2 linked regions of the Mytilus edulis genome follow. The protein of the gene in region 2 purifies or fractionates together with the protein of the main gene of each other region. This does not show direct contact. Links are inferred from orthologs where the notes say so. Each region holds a gene or a part of one and is shown on either strand. Other genes may lie near its edges.

Evidence for each region. The genes of interacting proteins can lie anywhere in the genome.
Region 1: the proteins of cytoplasmic FMR1-interacting protein 2-like (region 2) and protein BRICK1-like purify together in Drosophila melanogaster (affinity purification with western blotting; 4 studies listed by BioGRID). This does not show direct contact. The link is inferred for Mytilus edulis from reciprocal best matches to the Drosophila melanogaster genes Cyfip and HSPC300.

What each region holds. Positions count from the first base shown.
Region 1 is NC_092344.1:56,321,684-56,328,720, forward strand, and holds the start of protein BRICK1-like, read right to left. Parts: upstream 3,024-7,037; 5' UTR 2,988-3,023; coding exon 2,867-2,987; intron 981-2,866; coding exon 898-980; intron 1-897. Other genes in the region: protein RD3-like, read left to right, coding at 6,487-7,037.
Region 2 is NC_092351.1:9,973,765-9,981,364, reverse strand, and holds the start of cytoplasmic FMR1-interacting protein 2-like, read left to right. Parts: upstream 1-4,589; 5' UTR 4,590-4,773; intron 4,774-7,600. UniProt on the Drosophila melanogaster protein: Plays a role in guidance and morphology of central and peripheral axons and in synaptic morphology. Also required for formation of cell membrane protrusions and for bristle development.

The DNA.
Region 1 (7,037 bases), on a different chromosome or scaffold from region 2:
ACTTCTCTATGTCTCTTCTATAGAATCATTGTTATCTATAATTTCATCCTCTGTACACTAAAATTATATCATGTTTCAAAACTATTTACATGTACATTGTACAATGATACCAGTTTGTTTTATACTATAGGACTGGTTTTTTTTCAAGTAAGATTATCAGTTTAAAATATTTTTGAACTCTTTTGTCAATAAAAATAATTTTGCTCAAGCATGTTAATGTTGCATATTTGATTAATGTTGATACCTTTTTATTTGTGTGAAATACATTGAAATACATAAATCCCAGACTAACATGACTAAGAGGCTGGTATACAATGAAAATTTGTATGACTGAGTTTGTGCAATTGGCTTAAAAACCAAGAAATCACTACTTTTCCTCCATCCATGAAGTTTGGTACATTGTATCAATGTTAATATACAAATCCACAGTATGTATTTTGTTTTACACAATGTATTTGCTTTTTTATTGATATCATCAAGTATACAATGCCATAAACCTTTTTGGGTAAGAATGTGCATGTAAATGTACATGTATTCATCTTTATTGAATTGTACCTTTTTTTCCTCATCTCAATTTGTTTTAAATTGCATTTACCAGTAATTGCTAAGAATGTCTAAGTTTAAATGACCTTAACTTTATGGGGTCACCAGTCCGGTAATATCATTGCTATACTTTATTTATCATGTACTATACATGTACATACCAAAAATATCTGTTGATCAGCTATAAAATATTTGGGACAAGATGGAAGAAAGTAATTTTTCATTGCATTTAAATTTTGCTTATTTTATGAAATATTTGGAGATTCACTTAGAACAAAAATTTCACTTAGTGAAAGAAATGAAGAAAGATTTAAAGAAAAGATGAGCTGTTTTCAATACAGAGTTTTAAATTACCCGTGCTTCTATATATTCAACTTTTCTTTCCAGCTGGGTCAACTTCTCATTCAAAGTAGCCAGTCTAGATCTACATGATGTGTCTGAAATATAAATAATGGTTATACTTTTTAGTTTAATCTTAAAATAGTGTCAGCTAAATGAAGTTAAGCTCATGCATTTAAAGCTCTTAATTGTTCGACCAAGGCCTAAATTAATATATTGTTTGTTTCCCCGATCCCGACCCTGCCAAGCCAGGTATGGGTCGGAAGGTAGGGAAATTTTTTTTATTTTTTCCAAAAAGCTTGAACAACATTGGACGATCCTGCAAGCCTGAAAATCGGAAATGAATAAAATAATATTTGACTTAAATTTGACAATAAAATTTTATGAGTAGCACTGTTTTTGCAGGGTCGGTTGGGATTGGGGAAACAAACAATATTTTATTTTAGGCCCAAAGTTAGAGTACTGCTCATCAATTTAGTATCCACATCAAATTATAAAGATTAAAAAAGTTCAGAGACATGAGAGAAGAGCAGTCCGCTTAACATATACCGCATCCATAACACTAGGTCAGTTACTAAAATGTTGACAGACATAAATTGGTTTCCACTTGAAATTAGGCGCCTAAGATACAAACTTGTTTTCTTCTACATTGTACTTAATTATATCCGATGTACAGTATACACGAAATTGTTGCATTCCCTACATCAAATTTAACCTTTTGACCCCTTTTAATAGACAATAGAACCAGATGTAGCAATCCACACTATATTCAGCAAATGCAAACATCAAAAGACAGTTATAAATAATCATTTTACCCACATACATGTACAGCTATAGATTTGAATCATTTGCCACAACAAATAGTTTTCTGCAGTACAGTATATGGAACCAAGAGAATGATCTCAGAATTTGCCTTAATCCCTATTTTCTACCCTCAACTATTATTGTTATCAAATGTACTATTATCATTATTTTGATTTTGTTTGTCTTTTTTTTCTGGTTACCTTGTATTACTTTATAATAGACCATTTTCGAGTTCATCCATCACCGGCAAAAACTCGTCAATTATGTGCGCCTTTATGACGTCATTTACCAGATAGAGGGGATCGCCTGTATCCCTGCACTATTTACGTTCATCAAGCGTCTTAGTGATCCTCGTTGTGCAGGATAAACTGGAAATAATGGTTGTTCTGTAGGTACTTAATGACAATTCCCTAATGACAGCAGTGCTGATTGTCAATTTTGAGAATTAAATTTGCTGAATAATTCGTACAATATAGAATTATAGTTTTCCAACCACTCGCTCAACATTGAAACGGAAGTGACGACGCCCCTAAACGCACAAATGACGTTCACTAAAACCAGAGTTTTTGACGGAAATGCATCGAACTCGAAAGTTTTCTATTACATTAGATGTACGTTTCATTATAACACTTTATTCTGATTGGCTAACTGCACATCACATGTTATTCCTTAAGCAATTGCATTACTCAATATTTAAAACCTATCATTCATGATAACACGTGGTCCCACAATAAAGTGCACAGGTGAATTAAATAAAACAATTATAAAATTCGTGTTTTCATGATCATTATGCTAAAAAATGTAATCATAAGTATTGAATGCTTCTTTTTGTAACTTCATAGGGTTGTAAAAGCGTTGACCGTGCGCACATTTTTAGAATGAAGCGAATCTGCGCTTCATACAAAATGTACTTATATAATTACTTGGTCAACACTTTTACACCCCAATGAAGTTACAAAAAGAAGCATTCAGTTTTTAAATATTTGACACCAGGAGATTCATCTTCAATACATGAAGGACTGCTATGAAACTTAAAGAAGAAGGATCAGTTGTCTTTGAATTCAGGAATATACGCATTATAACATGTATGTCATGTATAAATTACAAATGTATGTACAACAGCTACAGGTGCTTGATATTTTTTGTCATGTTAAAAGAATAGGTGGCTACAATGTATTACCAAACGAGTTTAAAAAGTCGGATATTTTCTTTATGCTTCCAGTTATAACTTCAATGTATTCTCTATTGGCCCAGTCTTGTTGAATGGGCCTCTGATGTTGCCCATGACCATGTTGTGCCATTGTTGACAAATAAATTTATTTCCTTGAATGCGTAAGTAAACTTAAATTTGATTGGCTATAAAAATTTGTTCGACCAATCAAAAACCGTAAGACAAATAAGTTCTATAACATCTGTCAAAATGATGAGAATTATTTTGGAATCATGAATTTAATTCTTTACCGAAATTAAGGCTTTGTACATATCTAGGTAAATATTATAAGAAAAAGGAGGAACATTTTCTGACATGATGAGTCGATAGAAAAGAGTGAAGTGTCGTACAAGTTTATAAGAATGATGAATCTGATGAAAATGCCAAATACTGGCACTTAAAAAATTATATAATTACTATGCCGTACATGTAATGTATATACTCACATGTAAACACTTTTTCAAAACAACTTATTAAAGGGATATTTGTGCTGTATATTTTTTACCAATCTCCTTCAAAATTATACCCCGAATCACAACATAATCTCACAGGGTATCAGGTCCGTTCGCGCCCAATATACTTTCGCACCCTACACGTTCGCACCTCGCACGTTGGCACCCAAGGTCCGTTCGCACTCTACACGTTTGCGCCCAAAATTATTGGAAAATCATGATTGTTGTTTTTAAATGTTTTCGTGTAAATACTGAATGTATTTATAGCTTGGTATGAGTAAAAGATTGAAGATTTTAAATGAAAAACACAAAAGATAATTGTTTTTAACAGCTTGGTCCCTTTGATCTGAAACAATGAAACAATAAAATATAGCAATACACTAACCAAAACATGATTAAGAGTTATTCAACACAAAATAAAACGTTGACAGAATCCCACTTTATTTAGAAAGGAATATTATTTTTTTTAACAATACACTATATATCCAAAACATAATTAAGATTTATTCAACACAATAAAAAATGCTGTCTCACTTTATTTTGAGACAACGAAAACAATTATACTTATAAGAATACTACTTGCCAAAACTTGATTACAAAGTTATTAAACCCAAAACCAATTAAAATTGGGCGTGAACATGTAGGATGCGAACGGACTTTGGGTGTGAACATGTAGGGTGCGAAAGTGAAAGGGGGCGAACATGAGTGGGTGCGAACATGAATGGGCGCGAACGGACCCGGATTCATCTCACAGTGGCGTAGCCAGGGTAGTCCAAATAATTATGACGTCTTGAAAGGCTATTATAATTTTTTTCTTTGACACCTTACTAAGGCGTCAAAGAAAAAAAATTATAATAGCCTTTCAAGACGTCATAATTATTTGGACTATAGCCAGGGTTGAAATGATGTGTATGTGTAACATGCTTAAAAAATTTTGGGACTGTTTTTTGCAGAAAATTTTATTATTCGGGAGATTTTTCCTGAATGCATGCATGTGTACTCCACTACAATCTGACACTAGTTGTTTTCTTGTTTAATTTCAAAATACCAACCAATATATCATGTATATGATATTTCCAATAGTTTATTTGTTTTCTCGATTATCTACCATCACTCAATTCACAAATATTTTATGTAAAAGTTTCACACCAAAAACTTATATTTGAGTGACATCTAAAAAAACAGACTCCTTTCTTCTATATATGGAACTGCGGAATATTAGAACCGGAGTGACTACCTTTTCATTGGAACTCTGTTCTTTTATTGAAAATATAATTAATACTTGTACCTAGATGGAAAAGGGTATTTATAAACCCATGAATGATTATACTCTAATACAAATAGAGTTTTTATCATGACGTCTTTGGTCTTACAGGAAACAATATCAGGATAAGATGGTGTATTTGTTAACTACATTTGTAGTAACGTTGCTATGTCATTGCTCCCCTAAGCTCAATTTCAGACCAAACATGACGCAGGTATGCGTATTCTGGCCCTCTTAGCTTGTTGCAGCCGACAACGCGCTGCGACATAGACTTTTTACGAAAACAGTCGCGAACACTTCTTCGATTTATCCATCTTGTTTACATTAACTAAATGATCCTGAAGAAAAGACCATGCATACTGCTTCGCAAATGATTGGAAGCTATTTTTATATCCTCACCCTTATTACATTCGTATACCATAGTCTGTATCCGCTGCGAACACATGCAATTATATATATATATATATTTTATTTTTTTTAGTCAAAATGATGTGGATGCTTTCAAGAGCATCTGAGCATACATGCAAGCTACGCCACTGGCACTGCATAAAACGTAACGCACAACTATTAAACAAGCCAAATCAAACAAATATTATACATTTGTACCAATTTTAAAACACTTTTTCACTAATTTCTCTCCCGGATTTGAGTGGAGTTACTGTTGTTTCTTATTAACTGTTGATGTAAATGTCCTTTAATTTTGTGAGTCTTTGTTTACTCCTTGGTTTTGATTGTTATTTTCATATTTTTTTAGCCCTGTGAGTAAAATATTTCTCCTCATTAGTGAAATATCTGTTCTCTACAAATGATGAGTCCAAATTTGATTATCACTTCAAAATTTCTTGTTTTCTTCTAATCATGAATTGTTCTATTGTGACTTAGAAAAAAGGCAGGATTGTAAAAAAAAATCACTTATATACATGTACATGTACATTTTTGACAAAAATTAAAGGGAGATAATTCAAATATTATGATTAGCTTAATGAAGTATATATTATATACTTCTTCAAGGTAATAAAAGTTATTTGTACAAGTACATGTAGTACCCATGACAGACTGTTATTTTAGTACCACAGACAAAAATTATAACACTGTCTGATCCATGTAGTAGGCTAGAAAAGGCCCTAACTAAAACAAATGTGAACATTTTAAATGAGAAAAATATAACGCTAAACTTGCAGGTATTTCTTTTTAAAGAAAAGTTAAATTGTATAATCATAAACAGTTAGAAAATGAGTTTATTAAATTAAATGTAAAGAAGACCTCAATTAGAACATTACAACACTGTTAAGATGCAACAAACAACCATAAACTTTATTTTATATTTCTATAAGTAATAATGACTCTACAGATTCATACAGCAAGATTCACATTTAACATGTTTAACAGACATCCTATAATTAAGTAAGCACCAGCAATATGTCAGATATATATCATAAAGAAAACAATTAGAAATACTTATAATCATGATTATAATGTTCTATAGAAATCTAAAAATCATAAAAACATTATTTACATACGTATATACAAAAAAAGATCTGCCAATATATAGATTTCAACATGCACATGTACATAAGTATATAGAAGTGTAAAATAGACCTACATTTTTTGCATTTCAAGTTTGATTTTTCATGAGCTGTGATGAATGCATTGCATCAATCTGTACATTTTGGCTTACATGTAAGGTGAATAGGTAAAATTACATCTTTGTACTTTAGTACTTGGAAATGTGATTCATGTACAAAAAATGTACTGTTAGCTTGGTATGGTGTCATAGGATGGCATCTATTTTCATTCTAAATTGTCAATATATTTATTTCATAAAAATAATTTATAGATCTATTCAATTTTTCAGTTCCGTTTCATATTTGAAGATGATGCCCTTAAAATCAGTATGGAAATCTCTAGTATCAAATGATCAGAGCAAACCTCCTTCCAGAAATGAGAAGTCAATTGTTGCTGATTCATTAATGTCAGAACTTGATTACAATATAAAGGAACTGGAGAAAGTCAGAATCGACAAAGAACAAGAAGAAACAAGAAAAAAGACTGGTGTAGACTATAGTTGGTTGATTACTACTCCTCCAAAAGGGTATACGATTCCCCAATTACAACGTTTAGAACTGGAGGAATTATTTTATCAAGTAAAACCAGAAGAATGTGGGAGCATTTTAGCTTTGTTTAGAGATTCACTTTTAAATGAACCCCAATCATCTGAACTTCCGTCCATATTCAGAGCTTGTGTCCAACAAATTCTACAACAAAGGCCTAAGGAACAGTCACTGACAGAATGGGTTACACAGAGAACTATGAGTTTAACCAGTTTAAAAGGTCGTCATTCAGCTCAAGTGGTGCCATCTGGTGATGCTACATGTAGAGATCCAGAGGATGTTCAAGATATACCACTATCAGAAAATACACAAAA
Region 2 (7,600 bases):
ATTCTATCATTTTGTTTAGTTTCTAATCACAAAATGGTGTTTTTTCCTGTATAATCCATACAAAATGTGTTATTTTGTCACGTCCTGTAGCTTGAGAAAATGCACGGTGACCTATCATTTTTATTATATTTTTCAACATATATCAATAGATACTACGTTTTGGCAAAGTATGAACAAATTCTATCATTTTTATTGTAGACTCCTATACCACCTTAAGCATCTTAAAAGTTAAACACAGTCATACTGGTACATACAATTATGAGATAAAAACACAAAATCAAAAACAAAATGGTTTGCTCATAAAAAGAACATTAAAAGCACATATAGATTAGTTATTTAGTAAAATTAGCACAAAGCAGCAGAAGCACTATATTGAAGATAACAAAAAAAGTTTGTCATGCTGAAAATAAAAATAATGAACAGATATTAACTGGTTTTGCAGGCAAAACATTGGCATGAGCTGCAATACAGACCAAGAACTTATCAAGTTCAGTGGCGGAACTTTTCATAAGGAGGGGGGTGCTGAATGACCTAAGGGGGCCCAAATCAGTCATGCTTCAGTGATTCCCTATATAATCAAACTAAATTTTTCTACGAAAGGGGGCCCCCTGATCCGCCTATGAAGTTCTAGAATTGAGTTAAAGATGATTGCTATCGAAGCTCATCTGGCAGCTCATTCCAAAGCTTAGCACCCGCATACCTTAAAGATTGTAGGCCATATGCAGAAGTTCTTACATGTGGTAGATCGGCTGTATTCTGGTATCTGAAAGAGTAAGTGTTTTCTTTCGAGTGTATTAAATTATGGAGATATGTACAGGACCATCTTTATTAACAATTTTGAAAACTTCAATAGCCTAAGATCGCATTCTTCTTATTTTTAAAGATGGTAATTTTGATTTGCAGAGTAGATCTTCATAACTTGCTGAATAGTCTTCAAAGATAAAACTTATTGCTCTCTCTTGAATTTTCTCTATCAATTTGTATTAACCTCCCCACAAACTGACAAACTAGTGGGCAGTAATTAAAATTGGACATTATGAAAGAATAATAAATTGGTAATTTTCCGAGTTTAGTCACTGAGGTGTTTATCTATTCTTTTTAATACATTTAATTGTTTCTTTGGATGCTTTTTTACATATTATAGAGACATAAAATTGAGAATGGAAATGGGGAATGTGTCAAAGAGACAACAACCCGACCAAAATAAAAAAACACAACAGCAGAAGGTCACCAACAGGTCTTCAATGTAGCGAGAAATTCCCGCACCCGGAGGCGTCCTTCAGCTGGCCCCTAAACAAATATATACTAGTTCAGTGATAATGAACGCCATACTTATTTCCAAATTGTACACAAGAAACTAAAATTTAAATAATACAAGACTAACAAAGGCCAGAGGCTCCTGACTTGGGACAGGCGCAAAAAATGCGGCGGGGTTAAACATGTTTGTGAGATCTCAACCCTCCCCCTATACCTCTAACCAGTGTAGAAAAGTAAAAGCATAACAATACGCACATTAAAATTCAGTTCAAGAGAAGTCCGAGTCTGATGTCAGAAGATGTAACCAAAGAAAATAAACAAAATGACAATAATACATAAATAACAACAGACTAGTAAACCTTTTCAACATCTCTCGACATCGACTAATGACACCTACAGTTTACAGGTAAAATGGATGGGTCGTCTCAAAGACAAAAATCATCATGATTATCATCACGTAACATATTGGATTGGCGGTTTTATACTGTTTTGACTATTATAGTTTAAGAATATATATCAACCAAATAAATAAATAAATAAATATATGTATGGTGGCCGGATGCGGCCATTTATTTCGCCTTTTCGCGTTTTCGTGAATTCTCCGTTCATTTTGCAAACGCGAAATTGGGAATTCGAGAAATCGAGAAATTGAGAAAATCGGGAAATCGGAAAATCGAGAAATAGGGAATCCAGAAATTGGAAATATATAAGATCGGGAAATCGAAAAATCGAGAAATCAAGAAGGCAAAAACGCCAAAACACGAAAGAGGAAACACGAAAACGCTAAAACGCGAAATGAATTCTCAATTTTGCGTTTTTGCTTTCTCTATTTCTCGATTTCCCGATTACTCAATTTCTTGATTTCCCTTTCTCGATTTCTGGATTTTCCCGAAAGGGGAAACGTCTACCACACATATGTCTCTGTCATATAATATTCTTATTTCGTATGTATTTGCACGACATTTCATGTTGAATTGATTAAACAAATATTCCAATCATTCAGAATCCTAACCCATTTTCTCTTCACTTTTGTGATGATGTGAGTCTTTCGCCAAATATTTGCCGCATGCCAATAACGATTTAATTTGTTGGTGTAAAAGCTTTCATGATGTTTTTCAAAAATGAAAAAGAATACTGGTCCGTCCGTATCACACTTGTGAACACGCTCAACTTTGTGTTTTTCCACCGATCTTCACCTCAGTCGATGTACATTTTCAATTTTTACATAATTACATATTGATTTTTTAGGTCAAAGGAAAAGATCACGTTTTTTTTTATTATTATTATTATCAACGACGGTCTTCTCCGCTTCAAGATATCTTGTTCGAGGTAAAGTTTTTCCTAGATGAATTTTGAAAAAAAATATAAAAGACCCCTCGTTTCAATGCTACAACATTTAAGCAGTGACTGGTGAATACAGAATTCAAGTGGAACACCAAATTGGTGAATTGAAATGATACAAAGTATTGAGTACATTATTGAGGCATACAAGGCCAAAACTAACAGACATGTGCCGCCCTTGTAAACCAACATAATCATTGTTTAATTTTAAAATATCAACTACAATAGAACATGATTTGTTCTTTTCGTTTTCCAAATTCAACCAGGACAGCTAGAAGCTAAATGTCTAAAAGATGAAATGTGACTTAAAGTCTATCATTTTCTTTATAACAAATTAAAACAAAATCATGTCATTTGGACTCTGTATGAAAGTTTTATCATTGTCAATGATTGAAAGCAATAAAATTAATAATGATCTCATTTATTTTTTTATTTTTGAGACTACCCTTCACATTTTACCTGTCGTAGTCGTTCTCAACTGTAGGTGTCGAGAGATGTTAAAAAGGTCTACTAGCAGTTAACTGACATGCCAGCTCCAGACTTCAATTAAACTGACTGAAAGATTATGATGTTCATTGAAATTTAGTTTAAAACCTATTATTACACCTAGAAGTTTAACGTTATCTTCACATTCTATTTCATTACCTTCTAATTCAAATTTAGGTTTTTGTCTTTAGTTTTTTTACCTACAGGTATTGCTTGACATTTTTCTGGATTAGCTTTCATTTTATTTTATTGTATATTGAGAACCAATTTATCAAAATTTTTGCTTTCCACATCTTCTGAAGTATTAGCAAGGAATTGTATATTTAAATATACAATTCCTTGGTATTAGTTAATTTATCTAAATCTTTATCTGCATATGAAAGGGGGTTGTCATCTGCATGATTATAGAGTTCACTTTTATGAATAAAATAAAGAAATGTCATTTAAAATTTGAAAAATAATGTAGGCCTTAATATCGAACCTTGTGGCACCTTTTAAACATTGTTTGTCAGTAGCTTAAATTAGTACCTCCTTTAACACACTGTTTTCTGTTAGTTAAATAGCTTTCCAAAAGTTTAAGAGAGTAGGTGGAAACACCATAGGATTTAATATTAGTAGGAGGAGGTCATGGTGTAGGCAGTCAAAAGCCTTGGACAAGTCTATAAATAGACGTATTTACACTTGTATGCAAATTTGTCCGCCATTGCGTAAAATCACACAGGTTCCCGTAAACTTTGACATCATAATTTAAAATTATTTGACGTCACAATTTAAAAGTGATTGTTGCTCAACGTCAAAAGGTGATTCGGAGTAGATTTAAGGTCATTCGCGGAGGCAAGATTCAGCTAAATACCAAAAGTGTAAAAACGTTTATTTATATAGCTGAGAGTCAGCACTACATATTTATTCTGATCTTAAACCTTTTCCAATATTCAATTTAAGGTCTTTAGTTTCCTTTATCAAGAGTGTATTTTTTATGTAGAGTCGGTATTTCTTGTTCTTCTTTTAATTTATCTGGTAAAACAGCCGATTCAAATGATTTATTCAGTAGTTTAGAAATTGGATTGGATAATTCAAATAAGATAATTTTAGTACTTTTGAAGAGATAGATACCATCTTTTCCTGTTGCCTTAAATTTTTGTTACTTTTTTTTCAACAAAACTCAGAAATTTACTGTATGCACACCAGTGGCGGATCCAGGGGGGGGGGTTCCGGGGGTGCGCACCCCCCCTTTATTTTTGCCGATCAATGCATTTGTATCGGGACATATGTTTTGCACCCCCCCCTTTGCCCTGGGTGCCCTGGGTTAACACCCCCCCTTTCGAAAATTCCTGCATCCGCCCCTGCACACATGGAAAACTATTTGTTTCTAAATTAGAATGAGTAAAGAAATAATTGAAGTATTAAGTTATGATCAAATTATTAATGTTATTTTTACAGCGCCATGTCATTTGCATGAGTACAAATACGGTAATCGTTGCACTTCCGAATATGGTAGGGAAATTAGTTTTTCAATGGGAAATAAACTGACTACCTATTGTTCAAATCTCAAAGAAGATCAGTCAATAGCCGCAGGTAACCAGTCAGTTGCTTTTGTTCGCAGCGCCCCCTATGGTCAAGTAAATCCGGAAGTTATCAAAAATGATAAAAAATGAAAACTGACATTTCCTTATTATGTGAAGTTTAAAGGTAATTAATCGGATGAACGACATAAGCAAAACAGGGACATGTAAAACATTATTTATATAGATTGTGCACTTGCAGTCAAGTCGACATTTTGCATTCAAAAAGTAGTATCAAATATCAATCCTGTCGAACTCTAGCTCTTCCTCTTTTATAGTTTATAGGAGGAAGAGCGAGATTTTTCTTTGAGGAACAATATAATTTCGGGTAGGCTCACATGTATCTGTCACTGAACGTAACCGTTAGTAGGTTAATGCAAGGTAGGAACCAGATCTATGAGATCCAGATTAATTCTCAGATAGAATTGTTATAATTTCTCAAGGGCAACAAGGTAGATAATTTAGTGAAAGCTTAGCTAATTGAGTTACCCCCTTTAAATAAAGTCATTACTTACTTACTTCCTTACTTATTGTTGATGTTCTATTTTGGACAGGTCAGGAATAACCATCAATTGGTGGATTATACCTCAATTGACATATAATCCACCAATTGACATTAATGGTATAGACCAATACACCTTATCGCTAATCCTTGCCGACCCAGCCGCAGCTTTTAGACGCATACAACAATCACTTTTCCATTGTGGCGTCAGATATTTTGTATTGTGACGTCAAAATTTTACGGGAACCTGTGTGATATCTAGTAATGGCGGACAAATAGCGATAAGGTGTATTGGTGTATAATTCTTTGTTCTTCAAAACAAATTATTCTACCCAAATGAAGCATTGTTTTCTTGAAATCATATTATGGTATGAAAACTTGTCAAACATTCCTAGTTTAGTATATATAGTGACATAACATATTGCATTTAATCAATAATTGTATTTTCAGTTTCTTCTATTGTTACATGTACAAATGTATCTTGTCAATTCTTGATTGGCATATTTACCTGTAAAGTGTAATCACCTGTCAATACACCTTATCGCTATCTCCGGCTGACCCAGCCGCTTGAACTTTTGACGCACACAACAATCACTTTTCCATTGTCATGATTGTGGTGTCATATATTTTGTATTGTCATGTCAACATTTTACGGGAACCTGTGTGATATCCAGTAATGGCGGACAAATAGCGATAAGGTGTATGGACATCATTTACTGTCTGCAGTCATCATGGTCATGTGATCATGAGTACAACTCCTCAGGTGAATGGAGCTCTTTGTTCAGTCAGTTAAATCACTTATTTGAGTAGCAAATTCAAAGTTTTGTCACAAATTGTGATTTTGTAGTTTTACCAAAATTTTAAACCCATTATGTTTAAAAAATATCTTTTCATTAGTAAAATTGAAAAAAGTGAATTTTTGCTTCTTTTAAGTATCAAGGTTTATGCCTTTGATGCTATCATTTAGCTGCAAATTCTATTTTAGTTGAAAAAATGCTATAATAATGGCTTTACATAATGAACTGATACTTTCTTAACAGATTTTTCCCAGCAGTGGGAGTATTTTTCCTGTAAAGTTCAAGGTTTCATCTTTCAGATTATGTCATAAAATTTTACTGTTCACCATAAAAATTTCACTGTTCGGGGTGTTGAAATTAGTGGGGGTTATTAAAATAATGATTCTTAAAGGAGTGATTTTTGGGAAGGAAATTGAGGTATGATACTTAAACAAGTGAGTTTTATGTCATTATCCTCGATTCAGTACAAGGTCATCACCTGAAATGACCTAGTCATCCTAGACAACATGGATGTTAGTTCTGATAAGTTTAGAAACATAATTAGTCCCTGGACCATTAGTATTCTATATTTAAAGCTACAGTAAAATTAAATCACTTCTTCTAGTGATTATTTTGTACTACTTAAATAGGTGATTATTAAAGAAAGACAACTCTTACTTTCAACCTTTATGGAAATAATGTTACTTGAATCAGTGATTTAGAAAATCACTCATTTAAGTAAGTCCCCTGACTTGTTAATACTTGAATTCAATTATCAAAAGTCAATCATGGTCAATACATGTAGTACAAATGTTTCAACAAAAGAATTGTTGTACACATGCATTCTCAAGAGATGCAGAAGGCTTTGACAAAACTTAATTTGAAGGACTCAATAAGGGTCATAAAATAGGTTGCAAGTTGCAAAATCATGCTCCTATCTCACACTAGTATTTTATTACAAAAAATTTGCATTATACGTCAATTGGTCCTTACCAATTATAATATACCTTAATTGGTGGATTATACGTCAATTGAGGTATAATCCACCAATTGGTGGTTATTCCTGACCTGTTGGACGCCCCTATTTTTGGGTCTCATGAATTAGCGACAAGGTTGCATTACAATATAAAGTATATCATGTTGGCACCCTAAAAAAAGCAGGACAGACTGGTGATCCCAAACTGTATATACCCTTTTGCTTCTATGAAACTACAATGACACAAATGTATAAATTTTATTAAAATTCATATTTTTGAATCTCAATACCTCAGGTCAATGTACATTAATTTTATATCAAATGGACTATAAAATTTACTTGATTTAACCAAGTATTCAAATCAACCAAGTTCTACCCATCAGTGGTAAAAATGCATTGATCATACAGAATTTTACTAAGACTTTTAAATTAGTTCTACTCATTAGAGATTTTAGCACAAGCGAGTTCAACACAACAGGATGCATCTGTAATTCACAGTCAATTGGGCAAATACAATGTACTCAAATATCATGAATACAAAACTGTACTTAAGATCAGTTATTACATTTCAAAGATAATGAGTATTATTTCAATGCTACATTAACATGTTTGTTTCTTTTGTTCATAGTCATACTACCAGCAGGAGATATTTGATAAGAGGAAAACACACAAACTGATGACATTTATTGATATTCCTTCG